3 linked regions of the Alligator mississippiensis genome follow. The protein of the gene in region 3 binds, or shares a complex with, the protein of the main gene of each other region. Links are inferred from orthologs where the notes say so. Each region holds a gene or a part of one and is shown on either strand. Other genes may lie near its edges.

The links.
Region 1: the proteins of RPS6KA1 (region 3) and SNTG2 are in contact, whole or in part, in a crystal structure (PDB 7QQL), measured with the Homo sapiens proteins. The link is inferred for Alligator mississippiensis from reciprocal best matches to the Homo sapiens genes RPS6KA1 and SNTG2. Residues at the interface, in NP_002944.2 of Homo sapiens: Pro731, Ser732, Thr733, Thr734, Leu735; in NP_061841.2 of Homo sapiens: Gly82, Gly83, Leu84, Gly85, Leu86, Ser87, Ile88, Lys89, Gly90, His94, Ser101, Lys102, Phe104, His134, Val138, Leu141, Arg142.
Region 2: the proteins of RPS6KA1 (region 3) and MAGI1 are in contact, whole or in part, in a crystal structure (PDB 5N7F), measured with the Homo sapiens proteins. The link is inferred for Alligator mississippiensis from reciprocal best matches to the Homo sapiens genes RPS6KA1 and MAGI1. Residues at the interface, in NP_002944.2 of Homo sapiens: Pro731, Ser732, Thr733, Thr734, Leu735; in NP_001028229.1 of Homo sapiens: Arg480, Gly481, Phe482, Gly483, Phe484, Thr485, Val486, Val487, Gly488, Asp490, Lys499, Ser500, His532, Val536, Phe539, Gln540.

What each region holds. Positions count from the first base shown.
Region 1 is NC_081824.1:38,799,623-38,803,365, reverse strand, and holds the start of SNTG2 (gamma-2-syntrophin), read left to right. Parts: upstream 1-1,423; 5' UTR 1,424-1,632; coding exon 1,633-1,707; intron 1,708-3,743. UniProt on the Homo sapiens protein: Adapter protein that binds to and probably organizes the subcellular localization of a variety of proteins. May link various receptors to the actin cytoskeleton and the dystrophin glycoprotein complex.
Region 2 is NC_081835.1:4,521,222-4,524,964, forward strand, and holds the start of MAGI1 (membrane-associated guanylate kinase, WW and PDZ domain-containing protein 1), read right to left. Parts: upstream 2,593-3,743; 5' UTR 2,379-2,592; coding exon 2,108-2,378; intron 1-2,107. UniProt on the Homo sapiens protein: Plays a role in coupling actin fibers to cell junctions in endothelial cells, via its interaction with AMOTL2 and CDH5. May regulate acid-induced ASIC3 currents by modulating its expression at the cell surface.
Region 3 is NC_081829.1:3,030,075-3,033,817, forward strand, and holds the start of RPS6KA1 (ribosomal protein S6 kinase alpha-1), read right to left. Parts: upstream 2,531-3,743; 5' UTR 2,513-2,530; coding exon 2,384-2,512; intron 1-2,383. UniProt on the Homo sapiens protein: Serine/threonine-protein kinase that acts downstream of ERK (MAPK1/ERK2 and MAPK3/ERK1) signaling and mediates mitogenic and stress-induced activation of the transcription factors CREB1, ETV1/ER81 and NR4A1/NUR77, regulates translation through RPS6 and EIF4B phosphorylation, and mediates cellular proliferation, survival, and differentiation by modulating mTOR signaling and repressing pro-apoptotic function of BAD and DAPK1.

The sequences.
Region 1 (3,743 bases), on a different chromosome or scaffold from region 3:
TTAGCAGAAGTTTTTTGTTATGGGAAATAATCCTATTGTTAGTAAAATAACCTTCAGAAAGCAAGATTGGAGAGATTTTGGATGGCTCCAGTTATGAATTGCCTTCTGTTATGCACTCGTATATGACACCTCTTACTTGAGAAGTACCTATCTACCCCAGGGTTGCTACCTTCCAAGTAGCTGGACTCCTTTCACTTTGATTCACATGCCTCTTGGTCTTTTACCTACTTCACTCCTTAAGCCAGTGATTCTTGATCAGGATGATGAGATCCTTTCAGGGGTGTCACACATTAGCACTGGTGGGTGTGGAAACATGAATCACAAGATAAACCCAGAGTCCAAATGGGAATCTATGGCATTAAATACATTCTGATCTGTTGTAGTTTGAGTTCTTGGCAACAGAATTGGAGAGGTGCCTTGAGTCTAAAAAAGTTGAGAACCACAGCCCTAGGCATTCCTACTCCCCCCATATTATCACTATCCATTGCTTCCCTTTTCCTCTCCCATGTCCTGTCTTTTCCAGCTCCTTCTTCTGCATCTCTGTCCACCTACAACTCCCCAACAGCTTTCTCTTCAACCCCTAACCTTGCAGGCCTTGGTTCTCCTTTACAGAAACAGAGACACGGCTGTTTTACAAAGCAACTAGCCTGAGCCTTCTCCTAATAGAGCTGGCCCACGTTTTCTCCAGGGTAAGAGGCTGCTACTTTCTCCCACTTCTCAGGGATCCTGTTTTGAGCTGGGTGAGGGCTGCCTCTTCTTTTTGAGGACAAGATCCGGAAAAGTCCCGCCAAAGAGAGCATGGGCTTCTTCCCTTTCTTTTTTTTTAAACACTGTGCAGTTAAGACTCCTCAAGACAAGGGAAGGGGGGAAACAAAGGGCATCATTCATTTGGGGTCTGGCTGGCACAGCTAGCCCCAAATTCAAATGCAGTCCCTCCCTGACTGCAGCCAGATGGTGTAAATCGGAAGAGCCAGGAGGCTGCTCTAATCTGTGACTGGGCATATAAATAGGTGCCCTCATGCTTTTCAGCTTCTTCTTTGACTCCTCTCCAGGGTAGGGGGGAGAGAGGAGTCATTGAAAGGGCCCTGCCCTAGGTTCAAATGAAAGATGGATAGACACCATGAGGCATGTTGCAGCACTGCCTTCCTAGCCGACTGGCTCTTCTTTGGAGCTGGACAGTCCTTTTGGGGGGGGCATGACTTTGCACCTGTGGCCCAAGTTTACTAGTCAGTCGTGCAGAGCATGCACTGTGTGACAGGGACCATCGTGCCTGTCACAGGGGGGCGGCCAGGGCAGCCCGTTTGCACAGCCCAGGTCCCTCTCGGCTGCAGGAGACCTCTCCGCGCCCCCTCCTCCCCGCAGTTTTGGGCGGGAAGGGCTGGGCCGCGCCGGGGCCCAGGGGAGGGCGAGAGGGAGCGCGGGGCCGGGCAGCGACGGCGGCGGCGCCTTGCCCGAGCAAAGCAGAGCAGAGCAGAGCAGAGCAGAGCAGCGAAGTTCAGGAGGGAGCAGGCGCCGCCGCCGCCTCCTCCTCCGCCGCCTGCTCAGCCCCGGGCGGGCGCGGGGCGTCCATGCGCGCGGCGGCGGCGGCGGGGCGCAGCGTTCAGCCGCGGAGCCGCCCGCTGCACGGGGGACATGGAGGCGGCGGGGAAGCAGCCGCCTGCAGCGCAGCAGCGGGAGCGCCCGGCCAGCCTGCTCGTCCCCACCTGGGCAAGTAACCCCGCCGCGGGCTCGGGCGCGGGCGGGTCGCACGACGGGGGCTGGCCGTGCTTGCCTGGGCAGAGCCGCTGCCCCTCCGCACGGCGCCGTCCAGCCCCCCTGGGAGCCGGGCCGGGCCGGGCCGGGCCGGGCTCTCCCCGCCGCCCCGAAGACGGGAAACTTCCCCGCGCCGCTGCGCCAAGTCGCCGGGAAGTTGTGGCGGGGGAAGCCCGGCCCGGGGCGCGCTGCAGACCCAGGGGCTGCGCCTGCCTCCGGCCCGGCCGAGACCCCCGAGCGGAGGGAGGCTGTCGTGTCCGGCCGGCCGGACCTCAGGTCCAATACTGACCGTGTGCGCGCACGCCTGCGACCCAAATACTGAGTGTGCGTGTGTGTGCGTCTCCCCAAGACCCCAGACCAGTCTGTGTACATCTCTCAGACCCAAATATTAAATGTGCGTGTGTGTGCGAGTCTCTTAAGACCCAAATCTTCTGTGTGTGTGTCAGTAAGACCCAAGTAATAAGTGTGGATGGGTGTGTGTCCCTAAGACCCAATATGGGGTGGGTGGGTGTGTGTGTGTGTGTGTGTGTGTGTGTGTGTGTGTGTTCATGTATCCCTAGGTCCCAAATATTAAGTGTGTGTGTGTGTGTGTGTCCAAGTCCCAACTAGTGTGTGTGTGTGTGTGTAAGCTCTGGTTAGTGCATTAAAATAAGACTACAGAAAGTTATTTATTCACCATTGAAAAGTAGAAAAAAAATGTTTCTTGCCATGAGTGAGGGCATCACTTTTTAAGTGAGTCACTGAATGCCTTTGGATGTGGCTTTCTGCCTGTATTGCCCTTCATTGAGCCAGCTGCTAAATGCCAATGAAAGTGCACTCCTCCTTTGCATGACTATGTACTTTAAATTCTTAGCAATATGCTGTAATGTTAAAGCCAGGCACCTGTTTGTGAGTGTGTTTTAACACATACTTGAATTGTTTGAATTTTTTTGAATTTTTCAATTGTAGTTTAATCATATCATATGCGATTCATACAGTCAGAGTGCCATGCTGAGCAAATATTATTTCTGTATTCTAAAGTGTATACTTTTATATGCATTGAGAACCAACAGCTGATTAGGGAGTTGGAGGGGCAGGCTTATCACCACATATTTAAAAAACATATTTTTATAAATGATGCCCTCTGATGGTTGATCTCCACTATCCCTGATTGAATAAATGAAAGCAGTCTGGTATCCCTGGTTTGAAGAGCTCTGTTCCATGATTATAAGGGACTTTAACTATGAACAATATGATGTTCTTCATAGGGCATGAGTAAAATTTATGATAGTCTTTAAGTACAGTTGATAGTCTTATTAATCATCTAGAAATAATTTTATTATAAACACAGTGCATAAAACTGATTGCTTTTGTTGAAATATATAAGCATCCCACTTATTTATGCCCTGTCCTGATATCTTAAATTAGTTATTTACATGGCTTCTAATGACATGCTATCCTTGAACTCAGCTAGTATTTTTTTTTTTTAGAGAAACTTAAGTATTTCTATCTTCTTTCCAATGTTTTTTCTAAAAGCTCTGTTCCTTTTTTCTTTACCCTTAAGTGGATGAAGCATCCACTAGCATCTAGCATCAATAAACTAGCATCAATAAACATTTTGATTATTTTTGTGAGCTTCAGTAATTTTTAAACAATAGATCTAAATATAGAAATCTATGATTTAGATATGCTGAGAATGTGAGTGACAACTAATAGAAGTTGGTCAAGCAACTGAAAATTTTGCTTTATATATAACAGAAGTGTCTAGCTTTAGCACGTGTATATTTTCTGAATGTATCCCTGTATCTGTGAGGAGATTGCTGTATTCATTAATATGTTAAACGATTCACAAGCAAATGATAGCTTTAAATGTGGAAAATTCTGAATTGGGCTTAAGACATGTTATTCCACAGCTTTTAATTTGAAAGCCATGTTCTAACTTGTGAATAATCTATGCAGCAATTATCTTAAAATTTTACCTATTGCGTAGGTTGGAAACTAATGCATGACAG
Region 2 (3,743 bases), on a different chromosome or scaffold from region 3:
AAGAAGAGAGAAAAAGCAAGCAGAGATCCCTGACGATGACAAGTGCAGATTAAACGGTGCGGCACAGCAAAACACAAGCGGACTCCTGCTTCCTTCCTGCTCGCACCGAAGAGAACGCAACGTTACTGTCATTTACTCGCACGAGAAGTCCAAATAATCTCTGTGCAACAAGTGCATGTGACCTACCAGACTGGTTTTTAACAGGGCTCGCAGAGAGAGAGGCTGAGAAGTTAGCGGTGCTGCTTTACAAGAAGGTTAACAGCCGCACACACACGCACAAAAAAAAATGTATGATTAATTTTCTTTGGAGCAAGTCTGTAGTTGCTGCCCGCCCATCAGCTACACGAGACATCACTGCTTTGGCCAAACACAGCAAATCCCGCTCTAGCCTGGGATGAGGACATGTTTGTGGGGTAATAAACTTTCCCCTCCAGAAATCCACTGCATTATCCTAAACGCACTTCCTTTCCTGCCTCCATTTATAGATGACCCTGGTGTGCCGGAGCACCCTGCAAGCCTACAGGTGTTCCAATATAATCCTGTTTATTTCCAAATCCTGCGCATGCAAAATAATCATAACAGCTGTTGCAACAGCAACAGTTTCCTGGCACAAAATTCACGTCCTGGTCTGGAAACTATGAACCTATTAAACAGGCCTGTGCTGCTAACCTGTTACACGTCCGCTCTGCGTACAGCGGCGGGAGCCTTGCTGTTGTCTCCCGCAGCCGGCCTTGAGGTGCAGGTGCCCCTTCCCCTGTCCCCTAACCCATGCAGGGCTCCCCACTGCTAGGGAGGTCTGGTTTTCAGGCAGGCTGTGTAATCACGGCAAGGAGGGGTGGTAAGAAAGAGTCCCATCTTTTCCTGTGCCAAACCTGAGACCCGAACCCCAGCAGACAGCTAGCAGTTGCACGCTTAAACTCTTTTAACCATCACAAGGCAACGGGACAACCAACTGCTCTGCTTTGGAGGGCTCTGCTCCACGTAGAGAAGCCAGCTCTCGAGCTGCTATGCATTTTCAAGCCTTACCTGTAGAGCTGGCTGGCTCTTTTCATAGCTGGAGAGTCATTTTTAGGGCAGGACAGTTATGCCACATGCACACATGTTGCACGATCCACCAGTGAATGGCACTATTATTTTACACATGAGGCCGGTCTACATTTATTGCACGATTTACCAGTGAATTGCACGATAATTACTCTACGCACACAGCCAGTCTACACTTATTGCGCAGTCCCCCACTGAATCACGCCATAATTACTCTATACACACAGCTGTTCTACACTTATTGCGCGATGCCCTTCTGAATCGCACCATAATTACTCTATACACACAGCTGGTCTACACTTATTGCGCCGTCCCCCAGGGAATCATACCATATTTACTCTACACACGCAGCCAGTCTACATTTACCGTGTGGTCCCCCACTGACTCGCACCATAATTACACACACAGACACTCTACACTTATTGCGTCGTGCCCCCTCCCTGAATCACACCATAATTACTCTACACATGCAACCGGTCTACATTTATTGCGCCGTCCCCCAGTGAACTGCACAATTACTCTACACGTGCAGCCAGTCTACACTTATTGCGCTGTCCCCCACTGAATCGTACTATAATGACTTTACACGTGCAGCCAGCCTACACTTATTGCGCCGCCCCCCAGTGAATCATACCATATTTACTCTACACACGCAGCCAGTCTACACTTATCACGTGGTCCCCCGCTGACTCGCACCATAATTACACCCACAGCCGCTCTACACTTATTGCGCCGTGCCCCCTCCCTGAATCACACCATAATTACTCTACACACACACGTCCAGTCAACATTTATTGCGCCGGCCCCCACTGAATCGCACAATTACTCTACAGCTGGTGTACATTTATTGCGCGATACCCCGGTGACACGCACGCTGATCCACCGGTGCCGTGCGCGGTGACGGGGTGCCACCTTGGCACACGAGGGAGGGTGGCGGGCACTCATTTATGGCGCGCCCCCCCCCAGGAACCCACACGGGGATTACTTGGTGCGCACCCAGGCTGGCGGGGCGGGGCGGGGCGGGGTTAGGGTGGGTGCCCGAGGCAGGTAGGTAGGTAGGTACCTGGTCGCACGGCGGTGAAGGTGGCGGGCTCGGCGCCGGCGCGGAGCAGCTCCAGCACGTCGTAGCGGGGCAAGCCGGCGACGCGGACACCGCGCACCTCCAGCAGCAGGTCCCCGGGGCGCAGCGCCCCGTCGCCGCCGTCCACGGAGCCCACGTAGGCGAACTCGCCGTGCTCCGCGCCGCCCAGCACCGCGATGCCCGGCCCGCGGCTCAGCGCGCCCCGCTGCAGCCGGCCCGTCCAGTGGCTCTTCCTCGGCAGCGCCTTGGCCATGGCTGCGGGGGGCTGCGGGCTCCCACCCGCCTCTCTCAAGCCATCCCCGATGCCGGGTCCCGGAGCCAGCCGGGCGCCGCCTCCTTCTCCTTCTCCTCCTCCTCCCTGTGCGCCGCCTCCTTCCTCTCGGCGGCCCGGCCGGGACGCGAGCGCTTCCCCCGCGCCGCCGCCGGCTTCCTTTAAGGCGATACAAAGACGCGGCTTGTTTTGTTACACTTCATTCTATCGCGTTCCAGCGCCCGCCCCCCCCGCCCGCGCATGCGCCCCGCCCGGCCCCGCCCCCCGCACGTGTGTGCGCTGCGGGCTCCCTGCCCCAACAAGTTGTCTTTGGTCGCACCCGATTGCAACCCCCTGCCCCACTTCCAGGACGACCGCAACCCTGACCCCCCCCCCCCAGCCCCTGCTGCCAGAGAGATCCCCCCCCCCCCACCAGTTTGCACCCATCTCACCATGACCCCAAGCAGCCTGGGTTTGGGTTAGCCCCCTGTCTAAACCAATCTGAGCATGGGGGGAAGTCCTTCCTGACCCAAAGGTAAGTGGGGTAGGGATAGGATTAGGGATATACCCCCCCCCTCCCATCTGCACCAATCCCACAGTGGGGTGAAGAGTCCTTCCTGACCCCAAAACAGCATGGGTTAGGGTTAGAGCTACAACCTTCCCCCCTCCCCCATCTGCACCAATAAAAGTCCTTTCTGACCCCAAAGCAGCCTGGGTTAGGGTTAGTGTTAAGGCTACTGCTATCACCCCCCATCTGCATCAATTAAAGTCTGTCCTGACCCCAAAGCAGCCTGGGTTAGGGTTAGTGTTAAGGCTACTGCTATCACCCCCCATCTGCATCAATTAAAGTCTGTCCTGACCCCAAAGCAGCGTGGGTTAGGGTTAGTGTTAAGGCTACTGCTACCACCCCCCATCTGCATCAATTAAAGACTTTCCTGACCCCAAAGCAGCATGGGTTAGGGTTAGTGTTAAGGCTACTGCTACCACCCCCCATCTGCATCAATTAAAGACTTAACTGACCCCAAAGCAGTATGGGTTAGGGTTAGAGCTACAACTCCCCACCCCAAAATCTGCACCAATAAAAGTCCTTCCTGACCGCAAAGTAGCATGAGTGTGACCCTGAGCAAAGGGCTGAGACCCACCCCCCCAGCCAGGATCCTCTAGCTTTGCACGGGAGGGGTGCTGTAAAGCTGAAGGCATGAATCCCAAGAGCAGCCTTCCTCTCAGGCTCCCTGCGATCGCAGACAGCCACTTCCAGTAAAGTTACAGACTCCATCTGCACAGTTTTGCGGCTCCCGCTGGAAGGCTGCTCCAGGGATCAGCTTTCTCATCCACTTATTCGTCCCCATTTGCTCCTGTGCCTGCAGC
Region 3 (3,743 bases):
TTCACATCGGTTCCGCGGCTGTGTGTTTGTCTAATGAAACAAGAGTTTCAAGAAAAGCACTGCTGCTTTTCATTACTATGGTAATGAAGCCATTCAACTTTGCTTTCAAGTGCTGGCACGCTGTCCCAGCCGGAGCGCAGAACAGCGTTGCGAATCACAGGGGTAGAAGGTGGTGGTGTGAGGGGGGGATCGATCTGCCAGGGAGCTCCCCAGCACTGAAGCGTGCTCCACTTTGGCTCCCGGGGTGCAGTCGTCCCCCTTCCCAGGAGGCAGCTCAGGGCTCCACGCGGGAGCCCCCCAGCTTGCTGTGCCAAACAGGCCCGACTGCGACCACCGGAGAACCAGATTACTAACGTGACAGAACAATGGGGCTGATTTCTCCAGCGGCACCGTACTAACACCTCTGTGCCGTGACTCAGAGAGCAAAGGTTTGAGGAGGCCCATTTGTGGCAAGGATCCCAGGGGGATTTACGTAACTCACATTCCAGAAAAGTCTCTTCCATTTCTTAACTACCTTCCTGCCGTAGCAGGGACCACTTGCTTCCGCTGCCCTGGAGTAACCTCAGCCCATGCAGGGCATGGCTCAGACTCAGGTTTTCAATCACGGCCAGACAGATACTCCGCTGCCGCAGAGGGAACATGCTGACATCCGGCGCAGAAGATGGCAGTCAATCTTGGAGGCAAAACAAAAAGCTATTGACACCATCCATTCTGCAACGTGAGATCCAGCACATGGGTATACCTACCGCCTCTCGAGCTAGTTGGGATGTTAGCAAATGAACTCAGGCCTGCAGAATAAAATGATCCCGGAAGCTATAGGACTGAGTTTTAGAGATGCCAAGCGCAAGGGAGACCTTGCATTTTTGGGTAGGCTACCTGGGAGGCAATAGGCAAGAATGCGCCATTGCATTAGCTCCCTCTCTGCCCTGTTTCTCTCAAACTTCAGAGACCTCCAACCGCCAAATGCAGCAGACAAAAGAACCCAACCCCTGCAGACCAGACGCAGAGCATTGCCCGTGTTGGCACCGCAGCGAGACATTAGACACAAAAACACAGTCTGTCTGTAGGATCAAGCAGAAGTCTCACTCCTGCCAACAGCACTGGGCACGGATGTTCGCTTCTCCCCTCCCATTATTTTTATCGCGTCGTCTGGCTTCACGTGAAGCCTCCCAACTTAAAATTTAAAAAAACAGCCTAAAGCGCCGTCGTGTTTTACTGTGACGCTGTTATCTTGTGGATCTGTGCTGCCTCACCACAATGGGCAGGCCTGAAAGCACTCTGTGATATCAGGCAGGGAGATTGAATCGTTGCAGAATGAGTTCTCACTCTTTTCTCCCACCCTGGTGCGCACACGCATCCTAATGGCTCCAAAAGCTTTACGGCAGATGCTGGTAGCCCGCTGCAGGTGCCCGTCCAGCCCACGGCAGGTGGAGCCCCGTGACCCTGCTGCCAGGCAAGCGGGGTGAAGCATCCAGTCCAAGTCTTGCGAGGTGGCTGGTGAAAAAGCAGCTCTGACCACCCATTCCCCCTCCCAAACCTGCAAGACAGAGGAGTCTCTCTCAAAGAGTCGGGACCAGTCGACCTTAGTGAGAAAGCCTGCGAGCCCAGAGCACGACACTGCCGCGTCCAGGGGCAGCTTGCAAGATGGAAGAAACAGCATCCGGGCTTACGAAAAACCCCACGCGCGGCGACCGTGCCACGAAGAGGCCGATTCGCGTTCGCAGGAACCGGGCAAAGGAGCACGGTGGGACGGCACGGTGGTTGCCCACGCCTGCGCTTTGCCTTGGACGGTTCTGTGGTCTACGGCACCCTTAAGAGGGCAGACGGCATTCAAGTCCCTGAAGACCTCGATCGGAGGCCTGAATTAAGCGGGAGGGGAGAGCGTGCACCCGCGAGCGCCTCCCCGGGGCTTCTAGCCCCCCCGGAGATTCGCGAGACGTGCCCCGGTGCCAGCGCGTGTCCGCGAACACGCTCGGGAGAGGGGGCGGCGGGGGGCACCGCGGGCACGGCGAGACACGATCGCGCCCGAGGCAAGGACGCGACCCACCCCGCAGCAAGCGACTCGGCGCCGCGGGGGCCAGCCCAAACTCCGCTGGACGCGCCCGAGAGCCCGACGGCGGCCCGCGGTCAGGGTAGACGTCCTGCCCTCCGTAAAGGGAAGCGGGCGCCTCGGGGCGCACGCGGTGCTGGGGGCCGGCGACACACGGGCGCGACGCCGCCGTCCCTCCAAAGCCCTCCGGGAAGCGGGTGGGGGGCGGGGGTGAGAGGGGGTGTCCGCAGAGATGCGGGCAGAGGGAAGGGAAGGGAAGGGAAGGACAGGGCACAGCCCCTCCCTCCCGACCCTTTGTCCGCTGCAAACTTTCGCGGCGGGCGCGCGGCTCACCTCGGCGTCCAGCTGCACCAGCTCCTCGGCGGCGGCGGCGGCGGCGGGCCACGGGTCGCCCAGCTGCGCCAGCGGCATCCCGGCGGCGGCGGCGGCGAGCTGCTCGGAGCCGCCGCCCGCTGCCCCCATTGGGCACCGGCCTCCCCCGGCGGGGAGGAGCCCGGCGCCGGCCCCCGCACCTCCATTGGCTGCAGCCGGCTCCGCCCGGCCGGCACGGCGCCGCCCCCCGCCCCGCCCCGCCCCGCCCCCGGCCCCGGCGGAGCAGAGCGCGGCTGCCAGCCCGCCCGCCCTCCCGCCCGGGCGCCCTCGGCCTCGCAAGCTGCCGGGGGAGGGGAGCGGAGGGGAGCGGAGCGGAGGATGCTCGCACGTGGCCCCGCTACCGGCGACTCGCACGGGTCGGACCCGAGCGGGCTCATTCGACCTGGGACTCGTACAAAACCCTCTGGGTTTCTCCTGGCAGCGCTCCCGTCCCGTCGCGGCGCGCCCCGGCAGGCGGTGGGGAAGCGGACCCGCTGCACGCGTGCGTGCCCCCGGCCCCGCGGCACCCCGCGCACACCTGAACTGCTTTGGACCCCTCTCCCACCTGAATTGTTTTAGACTCTTCTCCCATCTGAATTTTTAGACCCCTCTCCAACCTGAACTGCTTTAGACCCCTCTCCTTAGACTGGACATTAGGAAGAACTTCACAGTTCCAGTGGCCAAGGTGTGGAACGGGCTCCCAAGGGAGGTGGTGCTCTCCCCTGCCCTGGGGGTCTTCAAGAGGAGGTTAGATGAGCATCTAGCTGGGGTCATCTAGACCCAGCACTCTTTCCTGCCCATGCAGGGGGTCGGACTCGATGATCTATTGAGGTCCCTTCCGACCCTAACATCTATGAATCTATGAACCTCTCCCATCTGAATTGCTTTGGACGCCAGCCCGTTCTCCCAGCCTCACAGCAGGTTGTTTAAGGCCCAGAGAAGGGCGACGGGGATGATGAGCGGCATGGAGGGGCTTCCCGATGAGGCCAGAGCTGCTCAGTGCGGGAAGGAGAGGCCATGGGGGGGGGGACGACATGACGAGGGTTTACACAAAACTAAATGGCGAAGAGGAAGTCAACGGGGATTTGTTACTGGCTCTCGCTCGCAAGATGAGAACGAGGGGTCGCACGGTAAAACGAGCAGGTCGTCGGTTTAAAATGAACATAAGGAAGTTCGTTTTCCCCCAGCGCATCATTAAAGGCTGGGGGTCGTTGCCACCAGAGGCGGTGGACGCTGAGAGTTCAACCACATTCACAAAGGGACTGGACACATATTTGGGGGTCACTATTGAGCATGAGAGTGAGGGGCACGACCTCCGAATCAGACCCGAAATGCTGGAGGC